Danio rerio: one gene and its partner. The protein of the gene in region 1 interacts with the protein of each later gene in a biochemical or structural test. Links are inferred from orthologs where the notes say so. Each region holds a gene or a part of one and is shown in the gene's direction. Other genes may lie near its edges.

Region 1 (4,956 bases):
GTCTCTCATTATTCGCGGGAGTTATGTTCTAAAAATAACCCACAGTAGGCGAAATCTGCAAAGTAGTCAGCTTTATTTTTTGTTTCTATTATAGATGTTTTAAGGTTGTAAAACCTGTCACTACACACTTTTTTCAGACAGGCATTAACATTTTTACACTTTTTTTCTCTTGATTAAACACTCTCAAAGTTCAAACTTTCATAGAAAAATAAGTCTAGTGCTATTGAATGAAATCAAAGATCAAAACCTGTTGTCAGGGGCAAACATTCACTGCTGTCAGCAAAAGGTTCATAAAACTTTTTAGCTTTTGTGTGGATTATTTTGGCATCCAGCGTAATGTTCTTTTTCCTGTAGTCACTGATCCACAAAGAGAAAGCAGAATTCATCCTTTGGGTGTTGCTCACCGGATGCGCCACACATGACAGTTGGAAGTAACACACACCAGACTCGCACATTAGCATGTTATTTGAAATGAAATTATTCATATGGCTCTCTGTGGCACGGTAGAAATATGAACAGTGTCTTGAATTGTAGCTGGACACCACAGACAGCAAACGACTTGCGGCGCCAGTGTGCGTACCCTAACATAAACCTATGTTTACAGTTCTAAAATGCATGGCTGCTGCGCAGTGGGTCATGGCGAAGCGCATCCGGTGTGTGACCCCCTTTACAATGGTCTTGCTGCAGACAGTTACAACCCTTTTTGCATCCTTGTTGAAACTCACACTGTTAGCGATCAAAGATTTATATTAATTTGGCAAGCTGAACACATTCTGTATTGTACAGGAGACACAGACACTGATTGACAATGGCCTACGGCCAATCAGAACACAGAACACAATGTGCTGCAAAATAAAAAGCCAAATTGCACACAAAAAAAAATCCACGAAACTGCGAGGCCCCGAAATGTGAACAGCGTTATAGTGAGAGACAACTCATTGTCGCATTTTTAGGGTCCCCATGAAACATTTCCGTTGTGTTCCATGCTATTTGCATGTGTTGTGAGAAATGCAGCCTCTTTTCCTTACGTGTATGCGTTGTGTGGATTTGCAACATGTTTGATGTCAAACCGATGAGAATCTTTTCTCAATTTGCTGGTGTTTTATTGTAATTGCGCATGTTTTTTATAAAATTACAGCATGTTAAGCTCTTGGCTACCATAATATTGTTTAAAAAAAGAAAATAAAAAAAAATTATTATTAAAAAAACATGCTCTGCAGACCCACAGAGACGCACCTTTTGCAACAAAAGTTTGCGAAAATGTTAATCAACTAATTTGCCTCATTTAAATAATTTAACTTTTCATTCTTGTAATTATTATAACTTTTAGCAATAATGTCTATTTTTGTTTCTTTTTACTGTTATTTATTTCTCATTTGCTGTATACTTTATTAATTTAATTATGTTATTATATTACATACTTAATACAAATCTTAAATGCTTTGGCAATACTGTACAAAATGTCATGCCAATAAAGCAACTTTAGAGAGAGAGAGAGAGAGAGAGAGAGCAGTCTTTACCTGTCTGTGGGTGCACATGGCTCCTAAATGGGCTAAAAGTAAGAAAATGGTGGATTTCTTTCATTTCAACAGCCTTTTTTTTAAATAACTTTAAACCATCGAAAAAGAAAAGGTGTTAAACAGGGTCCCATTAAATAAAAATATAGTTAACATCACATTACTTTTTCGTTTGTCGCATGTAGTTGACCATCTATGTGCTGTGGGTAAAAGATGTGTTTCAATCCGCCTACCACCGCAAGTATATTTCAAATTTTCTTCTTTTTTTTTTACTTGTCCAAGAAGTGGGTTTACTTGCATATGTTTTAATAGGGTAGAAAAGACTATTAAAAATGTTGGTTGCTCAATGTGGTGGGATTGGATTTGTGCTGCTCACAATTTCATTATTAAGACTTGTACACCTCAGGAAAAACTATTTAATCAGTTTGACCACTCTGATTTCAACACAATGACTGATAAATGACTGATCACAGATCTTAAGCGTTATCTTACAGATTTTCATTGAAGTCCTACCTGCGTTTTTAAGAGCCAGATCTTTGCTTAGGCTGTACTTTTTATGTTTATCTGAAATATCTTGTGTTTTTGTGTGTGTGTGAGGCAACAATAGCATTTGTGCTGTGTGAAAGGGTGCTTCACATGCTGCAAGCTCTCAATGGGATTTTTCACAAAGGCAGAGAGATACTGAACACTTCTGTTACCAGATAACCAAAAACAAAGAGAAATAACACAATGACCTTGTAAAATGACACACACACATACACACACACACACATACAACCAACCTCTTGAATTGTCTCCCTCCCTTTTCTCTCCCGCTCAGACTCCAGTGCTGCTGACACCGAGTCCGCTGCCATCAACCATTCACTTCTGGAGCACGCTCAGTCCTATCGCTCCACGCAGCCCTGCCAAGCTCTCCTTCCAGGTGAGACTTCCTGTCCACACAGTTTCTGTCCACAGCATGGCAGCAGCACACCATCTGTCTCCTCACACTCGCTCAGCGCATCACATGGCTGAGAATGTACTCTCTGCCCACTCCATTCATAACCAGCGAATACACCACACCATAAACATTTGATATACATCTTCTTTTCTCAACTCAAGCCCCCCTGTATATTTTTGTCCCCAATTTCTGTTTAACTGAGAGTAGATTTTTTTCAACACATTTCTAAACATAATAGTTTTAAAAACTCATTTCTAATAACTGGTTTATTTTATCTTTGTCATGATGACAGTACATAATATTCGACTTGATATTTTTCAAGGCTTAACTAGATTAATTAGGCAAGTCATTGTATAACGCTGGTTGTTCTGTAGACGAGCAGAAAAAAATATTGCTAAAGGGGCCTAATAATATCGACCTTAAAATGTTTTTTTAATAAAATTTAAAACTGCTTTTATTCTAGCAGAAATTAAACAAATAAGGTTTTCTCTAGAAGAAAAAATATTATAGGAAATACTGTGAAAATTCCTTGCTCTGTTAAACATCATTTGAGAAATATTTGAAAAAGAAAAGAAAAATTCACAGAAGGACTAATCATTTTGACTTTGACTACTTGCAGTTGAGGAATGAAAGCTTTTTGGCATGGAGGAAACAAAATATGTTGAATAAAAGGGCTCTTTTGTTTGAAATAAAGTTTTAATTTAGACCAAATAGTCTTGTGATCATTTTTATTCTTAATTATTTGTTGATTTCTTTTTTTTATTCTTAAATGTTTTTTATTTCTGGCGGGAAAAAGAAACCGAGCCATTAGAAGGAATAATTTTTGGATGACACATCTGAATATATGAGCCATGCTGTTTAAAGCTAGCCAGTTATTCCCACACTTGTAAACACACATCATTTATTTAAATTTTGCTATTGCTCCAATTTGCTATAATAAAGGGTGATTCAAAAAGAATGACAACTTTGAAAATCTGTATTTAATCAAATAAACATGATTGACCATTTGGTAATTAATCAATGTGAAGAGTACTTAAAGTTTTTTTCAGTCGAAAACAAATTCATAGATGTTCAATATGACTCCCTACAGGCACTCGAGTGACATCACTCCGATACTTGAATTCATTCCACACTCTCCATAGGATCTCGGGCGTAACAGTTTGGATAGCTGCAGTTATCCCTTCTTTTAGTTCCTCAATGTTAGCTGGTAGAGGTGGGCGAAACACCATGGATTCTATTTTAACCATCTAGGCACAAAGTCTGATGCACAGGGCGCAAAAGGGTGTCTCCAAATCCACTTTTGCTATTTTAAGGACGGAAAAATAGGCTCTGCGTCGCGTTGCATAGTCTAACAGGGTTGAGCTTATTCTCTTAATGAGTTATAGGTGTGTTTTGAGAAAAAAACAATCAGAGCCTCATCTTGCATTCCCTTTAAGAGTCAGTTGCGTGGTGCCATAGCGCATTTGCTATTTACATGGCAGACTTTGTAAGTGGAAAAACTGAATGCTTCACTAGTGAGAAAACGGTTAAACAGAGCATCTGCAGTGGGAGAATGAGAGATGAGCCTCCTCCAATCGGCCTTTACTTTCACTTTCATTTTTTCTCTTTCGTTGATGAGGAAACGTGTTGTACGCACATGCATCCATTAGCCTACAAAATTAATTTTGTTTTTTAAGCGCAAAGATTTGTTTTAAAACTATTTATAAATTCAGTGTATGATAGGGCACCATATCTTTAACTTATCTCATGGGGTGAGGTCAGGGCTTCTTAGAGGCCAGAGATTAAGTGCTCTGTCACGAGCTGCCTGGTGGCTGATTACAATGCTTTGGTACCTTTAGCTCAATTAGGCACGAACAGATAAGTGCTAATGGGGTGGTGCCCCATCCTAGTGGAATATGAATTGACGTGCTGCTTCTTTAAGTTGAGGGAACAGCCAAGTCTGCAACATTTGCAGATAGATTTGCCCAGTTACAGTTGCACCTTCAAAGAAAAAAAGGTCCAAAAACTTAATTGGCTGTAATAGCACAGAAGATGTTCACCTTAGGTAAATCACGTTCATGCTGAATTGTTTGCATTAGCAACAGAAATGAAAGTTGTATAGCTTTTTTTAATTTATTATACATGAAGGCATTGCTGACCTTTTACCATATTTGTGTTGCTTCCATTTAAAAATCAATGAATGAATCTCAAGTAGAGCTCAGCATTTCAGCGATTTCACCGTCTTTAATTTGGCTCTTTGAATAATGGATCTGATTGCAATTGTGTTGCTTTTTGAGAAGGTTTTTTTGTTGTTGTTGTTGGACTGACCCCAAGAAAAGCATGTGAGCATCCTCTGCTGGACTATACTGTAGCTGCAGTACAGAGATTGGATGAATATATGTACATGTTGTTTTTTTTAAAGAACAGGCACAATAAACCTAACCCTAGCCTGTCTTGGCAGATATGTTTGTTGGGCTGAGTTTACATTTTATTAAAACTAGAAACCAATATTATTTACTA
Region 2 (5,406 bases), on another chromosome or scaffold:
GGACGACACTGTGGCGCAGTGGGTATGTCACCTCACAGCAAGGATGTTGCTGGTTTGAGCCCCAGCTTGGCCAGTTGACATTTCTGTGTGGAGTTTGCATGTTCTCCCAGTGTTTGCGTGGGCTACAGTCCAAAGTTCCCACAGCCCAAGCACATGCGCTATAGGTGAATTGAATAAACTAAATTGGTCGTAGTGTATGTATGTGCAGGGGAGAGTGTATGAGTGTTTACAAGTGCTGGGTTGCGGCTGAAAGCGCATCCACTGTGTAATAATATATGCTGGGTAAGTAGGCTGTGGCGACCTCTGATTAATAAAGGGGCTAAGCCGAAAAGTAAATGAATGGATGAAAATGACAAAGAGGTGACTTGTCCAATTTAACACAGTACTCAATTTCAGGTTTGGTTTTACTATGAGTGATTGTGACTGGGTTCGAACCAAAGACATTTGAGAAACATCGCTTTTTCAGTTTAGTATTGGATTAAAATCATTTTATTAACTCATCCCAATTCAAAATATTTAAAACATAGCTATTATAAGGGCAGCGTTGTTAGTTGTTCTCTGTTTAACGCTTTAAATGCCCCACCATGAAAAAATTGGAATTTCATTTAAGTCCTAATGTCGCTAGTTAACATACTCAATGCATTTTTTTTCAACACATCCCATAATTTCTAAAATATCCACCTCAACCAAATTGTTTATATGTCGATTTATGGTTAAAATACCAAAATTATTACATATACTATAAAAAATCTGAAAATATGAAGTGTAAAGCCAATCTATATTTAAAAAAAATGTATGTATATATATATATATATATATATATATATATATATATATATATATATATATATATATATATATATATATATATATAAACTAAATCATCTTTATTTTTTGAAGTATACCATAAAGTATTTCAGATTCTCATTTAACATGTTTTGTTGTTGTTTTACTATAAAACCAAAATCAAGTGTAGTAGTGCAACAGGATTATTTGTTTGATTTTTTTGTAAACCTACAATGCTGTGTGTGTAAACCATCATTTAAAACAGTCAAACTGTAAATTAGTTTAACAGTCATTATTTAAAACAGTTAAATTATGGTCAACTATTTGGTAAAGCAGGCAGTTAAAGAGTTAAGGAGTTTATTATTTGTATATCTATCATGGAAGAAATTACACGCAAGTAATTATTTTTATTTGTAAGTTGATCAGTGGAAAGAAATGCCAAAATAGTTTGTTGTGAGGTTGGATAGCTTACAAAGGTGTTTGAGAAACATATTTGAGCACTATGTTACCTCAAATACATATTACTTGAGTATAACTTGTTTAAATGTACTTTTTAAACTTCTAAAACGGCGATTCTTTAGCAACAACATTGAGCCTTTTCTACATTTAAAAGGTTTGCTAATACGTTTATTTTATTTATTACATTATTTTTATTTGTAAGTGTGATATGGATGAAAAAGCCAAACGACTTAATGTTATATCTCCCAATATATAACGTAACAGCTTCATCTGCTGGTAAAACGGAGTAGCGCATCATTTGCACAGCTCCCACAGAGCTGAATTTGACGAGTTTGCCCTAAATTTAAATTAAGCGGTCACGCTGTCAACTTATATTAGGTTTTAAAACTCAATCAAGTACATTTGATTTACCTTTTCTCATATTTCTCCTCAAAAACGCGGCGTTTTGTCGTTATATATTACTATTCAGTTCTGAGGTAAAACACATTTGCTAGCTAGTTCGTTGTGTATGACGTAAATCATTTGTGTCAGCCAAATGACACATGAGCCAATCGCAGGGTCGGAGAGGTTTGCGTAACCAATCGCAGCGCAGCACTGTGACTCACCATACATGGACAGCCATCACCATATAAGGAAACATCGACTCGCTTTATATGGAGGAAAGTAGATCTATAGACGAACGTCTCGTGAGTTAAATTCTCAAAATAAGCAATATTTTACTAATTATTTTCCCCAGAAAACGTTAAACTTAATATTTGACCAAAATAGTGCTTTTTATGAGCTAATAACGTATTATCTAAAACAATACCGACCTTTAAGCAGAGAACTATTTTTAAAGGCGGAGCTGCATTGCGCGGTCGCGATTCGTCGTTTCCAAATGTGGCAAGCGCAGCGTAAGTTCAGTCGAGGTTTGATTGATGGACTGTAGGCGGAAACTATATGTTGTAAACTTTGTACGGTGGTCGTAAAGGGCTAGTTTTGCAGGTTTATTTCTGTCGTTTACGAGACCCTCAAATCCTGACTTTCATACTGAAACAAATCCATCCGTAACCAGAAATAGCGCTTGCCTGCTTTAAGTTGTCCGCTGAGTTGAGCTAATGTTTCTTAGCCTAGCATATGTGAGGTAAGTTCGGTTTTGGGTCTGGATTTGATCTGGGATCTGCTGCACAGATCGCTAACTTTACACCCACCGCAGACCGCCGTAGTGCCGCTTGCAGGTCAGCGATGTTAGGGGGCAACGGGACGGCCAGAGGGGCTGGACGCTCTGGTAATGGCACGGGATTGACACCTCTACAGGTGGGCAGCACATCTGGGGCTCTGGGGGCTGTAAACTCTGTCATAAACCTGCCCGATGGGGGCAGATACGACGACGGGCCGTCGGTCGAGGCTGTGCTGAGCGGCTCCGATGGAGACTCAGACTCCGGGGACGATGAAGAGAGCCCTGTGCCGGACAGGAGAGGGGTGAAGCGGGAGAGGAGCGAGCTGGAGGTCGGGGGATCTTCTGGATCTAACGCCGCACTCTCGGCAGGATACGGAGGGGTCTCCAGCGGGGTGGCCGGAGCGAAGCCCGGCAAGAAAACGCGAGGACGGGTGAAAATTAAGATGGAGTTTATTGACAACAAGCTGAGGAGATACACGACCTTCAGCAAGAGAAAGACTGGCATCATGAAGAAGGTATGTTCATGTGTCTTCTGCTGTTAGTCTGGAACTGATTGTACCACTGCTGTTCTACTGCTGTACTGATGCTAGTTTTACACCAGTGCTAAACATCTATGCTAATATTAGCACTACAACTACTAGTAGTGCCATGCCAATACGTTCTTCAGTAACTGGTACTCTAGTAAACTTTAGTATTTACCTCATTGTGCTTTGTTTAATTCTGTATAAATAATAGTACCACTAACATTACTATATTCAGGATTCCCACTGGTCATGGAATTGTAAAAGCTCTATCCCACATCCTGTAAGTCAGGGAATTGTATACATTTTTTGGTAACACTTTAGGTTATTACATATTTATAATTATGACATTGGTTGTTTTTTAGTAGTTATAAAGTATCGTTTTATTCAACATCCTTAAACCTACCAATACCTAAACCATAGCTCTCAAACTCAATTCCTGGAGGGCCACAGCTCTCAGTTTTGCTTCAACCGTAATCAAACACAACTTATTCAACTAATCAAGGTATTACTACTAGTAGAGACTATTAAGTAGGTGAGCTAGAGATGGTTGGAGCTAAACTGTGCAGAGCTGGGGCCCTCCAGGAATTGGGTTTGAGACCTCTGACCTAAAGCCAACTTCTTACTAACAGTTAATTAGCAGCAAATTAGTACCTTAGTGAGAAAAAAGTCTTAGTTAATGGTTTGTTTATAACAATAATTGTACCTTAAAATAAAGTGTAACCATTTTTATTGGCCCAAGTCATTGAATAACAGGGATTGTTGTTGTATTTCTTATTTCTTTACATTTATAATTTGTTTTTCAAAGTCAAATTATATTCTTCTCCCGCTTGTCAGCTGGCATAAGTCCTAGGGTGCTATCACACCTGCCTTATTTAGTTCGGTTGAATCGCACTAGAGTTCGTTTTCCCTCTTGGTGCGGTTCGTTTGGGCAGGTGTGAATCTAACAATCGTACTCGAGTGCGCACCAAAAGCGGACTAAAAAAGCATAGCAAGACCCCTTAGAGGAGGTGATCTCGGTACGCTTACAAACATGGCAAATTAATTCTTAGTATTATAAATATTTATTATTGTCTGCCACATAATAAAAAGTTTGAACAATAACACACTTACAGGTAAAAAAAAGATAAATAAAACATCAACGTTTTAATTAAAATGTAATTTTAAAAGTTTTTACTTGAATAATTCAGCGATTCCTCCGCGTACCACTAGAAGGAAGTCCGCGTACCACTTGAAGGAAGCCAGTGCATTGATAATGACCAAAAACACATTGAATGAGCAATTTTACCCAATAAATGCATCAATAATATCCACTGATTTTTAGATATTCAATTAAGTGAACTTAAACGATTAGAATGGCAACAAATATTTAGTTGAACCCAAACTACAAAAAAAAAACATTTAAAATAATTTTAAACTAGTTTTAAACTAGTGGGGTTTTGAAATCAATTAATGCAAATAATCGAAATAACTGTAAAGCCGTGATTATTTCTAAGACTATAAGCGTACAACCAAAATTTATAATCGTTGCATCCCTATTTTCAACTGGTTCAGATTAAAGCAATCAATTTGGTGTGAAAACGGCCCAAAAACGGCAGAAAATGCTACAATGTGTCATTTGTTGCCCTTGGTCCGGACCAAATGACCGAACTACAGATGTAAAACCACCCTTATGCACATAAGTCAAAATGCAATCCCCAGGCTTTACCTGTTAAATACTGTCTATATTTTGTGTCTGCCCAGTGCTCAACCCAACAGAAGGTATAATAAACCTTAAAGACGTCACAGAAATCAAGCATTTTGCTATTTAGTCAGTAAAATTTACATATTTTGACATTTGGTTTAGACTGGGAGCCCTGTATATGATACTAAATCTATAGAAATAGTTCCACTTGATTGATCCTAGAGCTACAGTAGAGATGCTAGCTTAGATAGTTTAAATTAATACATATTCTAACACTTCACAAAAACTCTACCACTAAATGTAAAAATACTTCATTTAAAACATTAATAATATTAGTGTCAATGGTTTGAACTCATGAAACTGATTCTATTATTGTAAAATAACAGTGTAAATTACAACATTGATGTTAATTCTATTGAAGTAGTAGTATCACTAGATTATATTGTAAAATTTCAGATACTAACTCTTTTTAAGTACCAGTATTTGCTTAAAATCATACTGCTGAGAAATACCTTTCTTAAATCTCAAAATCAAAGTTGTAGGCTTTAAAAAGTCTCAAATTTACTGAAATATTGTGTTGTAGGTCTTAAATCTTTTTTTAAACAGGTCTTAATTTTCATTTGTTCATGTATTGCTATCCAATCTGGCCAAAACCCATAAAATCACCAACAATCCATCTCAACTTTAAACTTTTTTTTTATTATTATTTAAAAGTTAATTTTTAACTCTGTTTATCATAATGGTTTAATTATTTTCCTTGTAATAACATTTGTTTAGAAGTGGTCCATGTATTTACT

The links. The genes of interacting proteins can lie anywhere in the genome.
Region 2: the proteins of elk1 (region 1) and srfa form a complex in vitro, tested with the Homo sapiens proteins (2 studies listed by BioGRID). The link is inferred for Danio rerio from reciprocal best matches to the Homo sapiens genes ELK1 and SRF.

Annotation. Positions count from the first base shown.
Region 1 is NC_133183.1:10,293,999-10,298,954, forward strand, and holds part of elk1 (ETS domain-containing protein Elk-1), read left to right. Parts: intron 1-2,337; coding exon 2,338-2,439; intron 2,440-4,956. UniProt on the Homo sapiens protein: Transcription factor that binds to purine-rich DNA sequences. Forms a ternary complex with SRF and the ETS and SRF motifs of the serum response element (SRE) on the promoter region of immediate early genes such as FOS and IER2.
Region 2 is NC_133197.1:37,094,979-37,100,384, forward strand, and holds the start of srfa (serum response factor a), read left to right. Parts: upstream 1-2,146; 5' UTR 2,147-2,469; coding exon 2,470-2,919; intron 2,920-5,406. UniProt on the Homo sapiens protein: SRF is a transcription factor that binds to the serum response element (SRE), a short sequence of dyad symmetry located 300 bp to the 5' of the site of transcription initiation of some genes (such as FOS).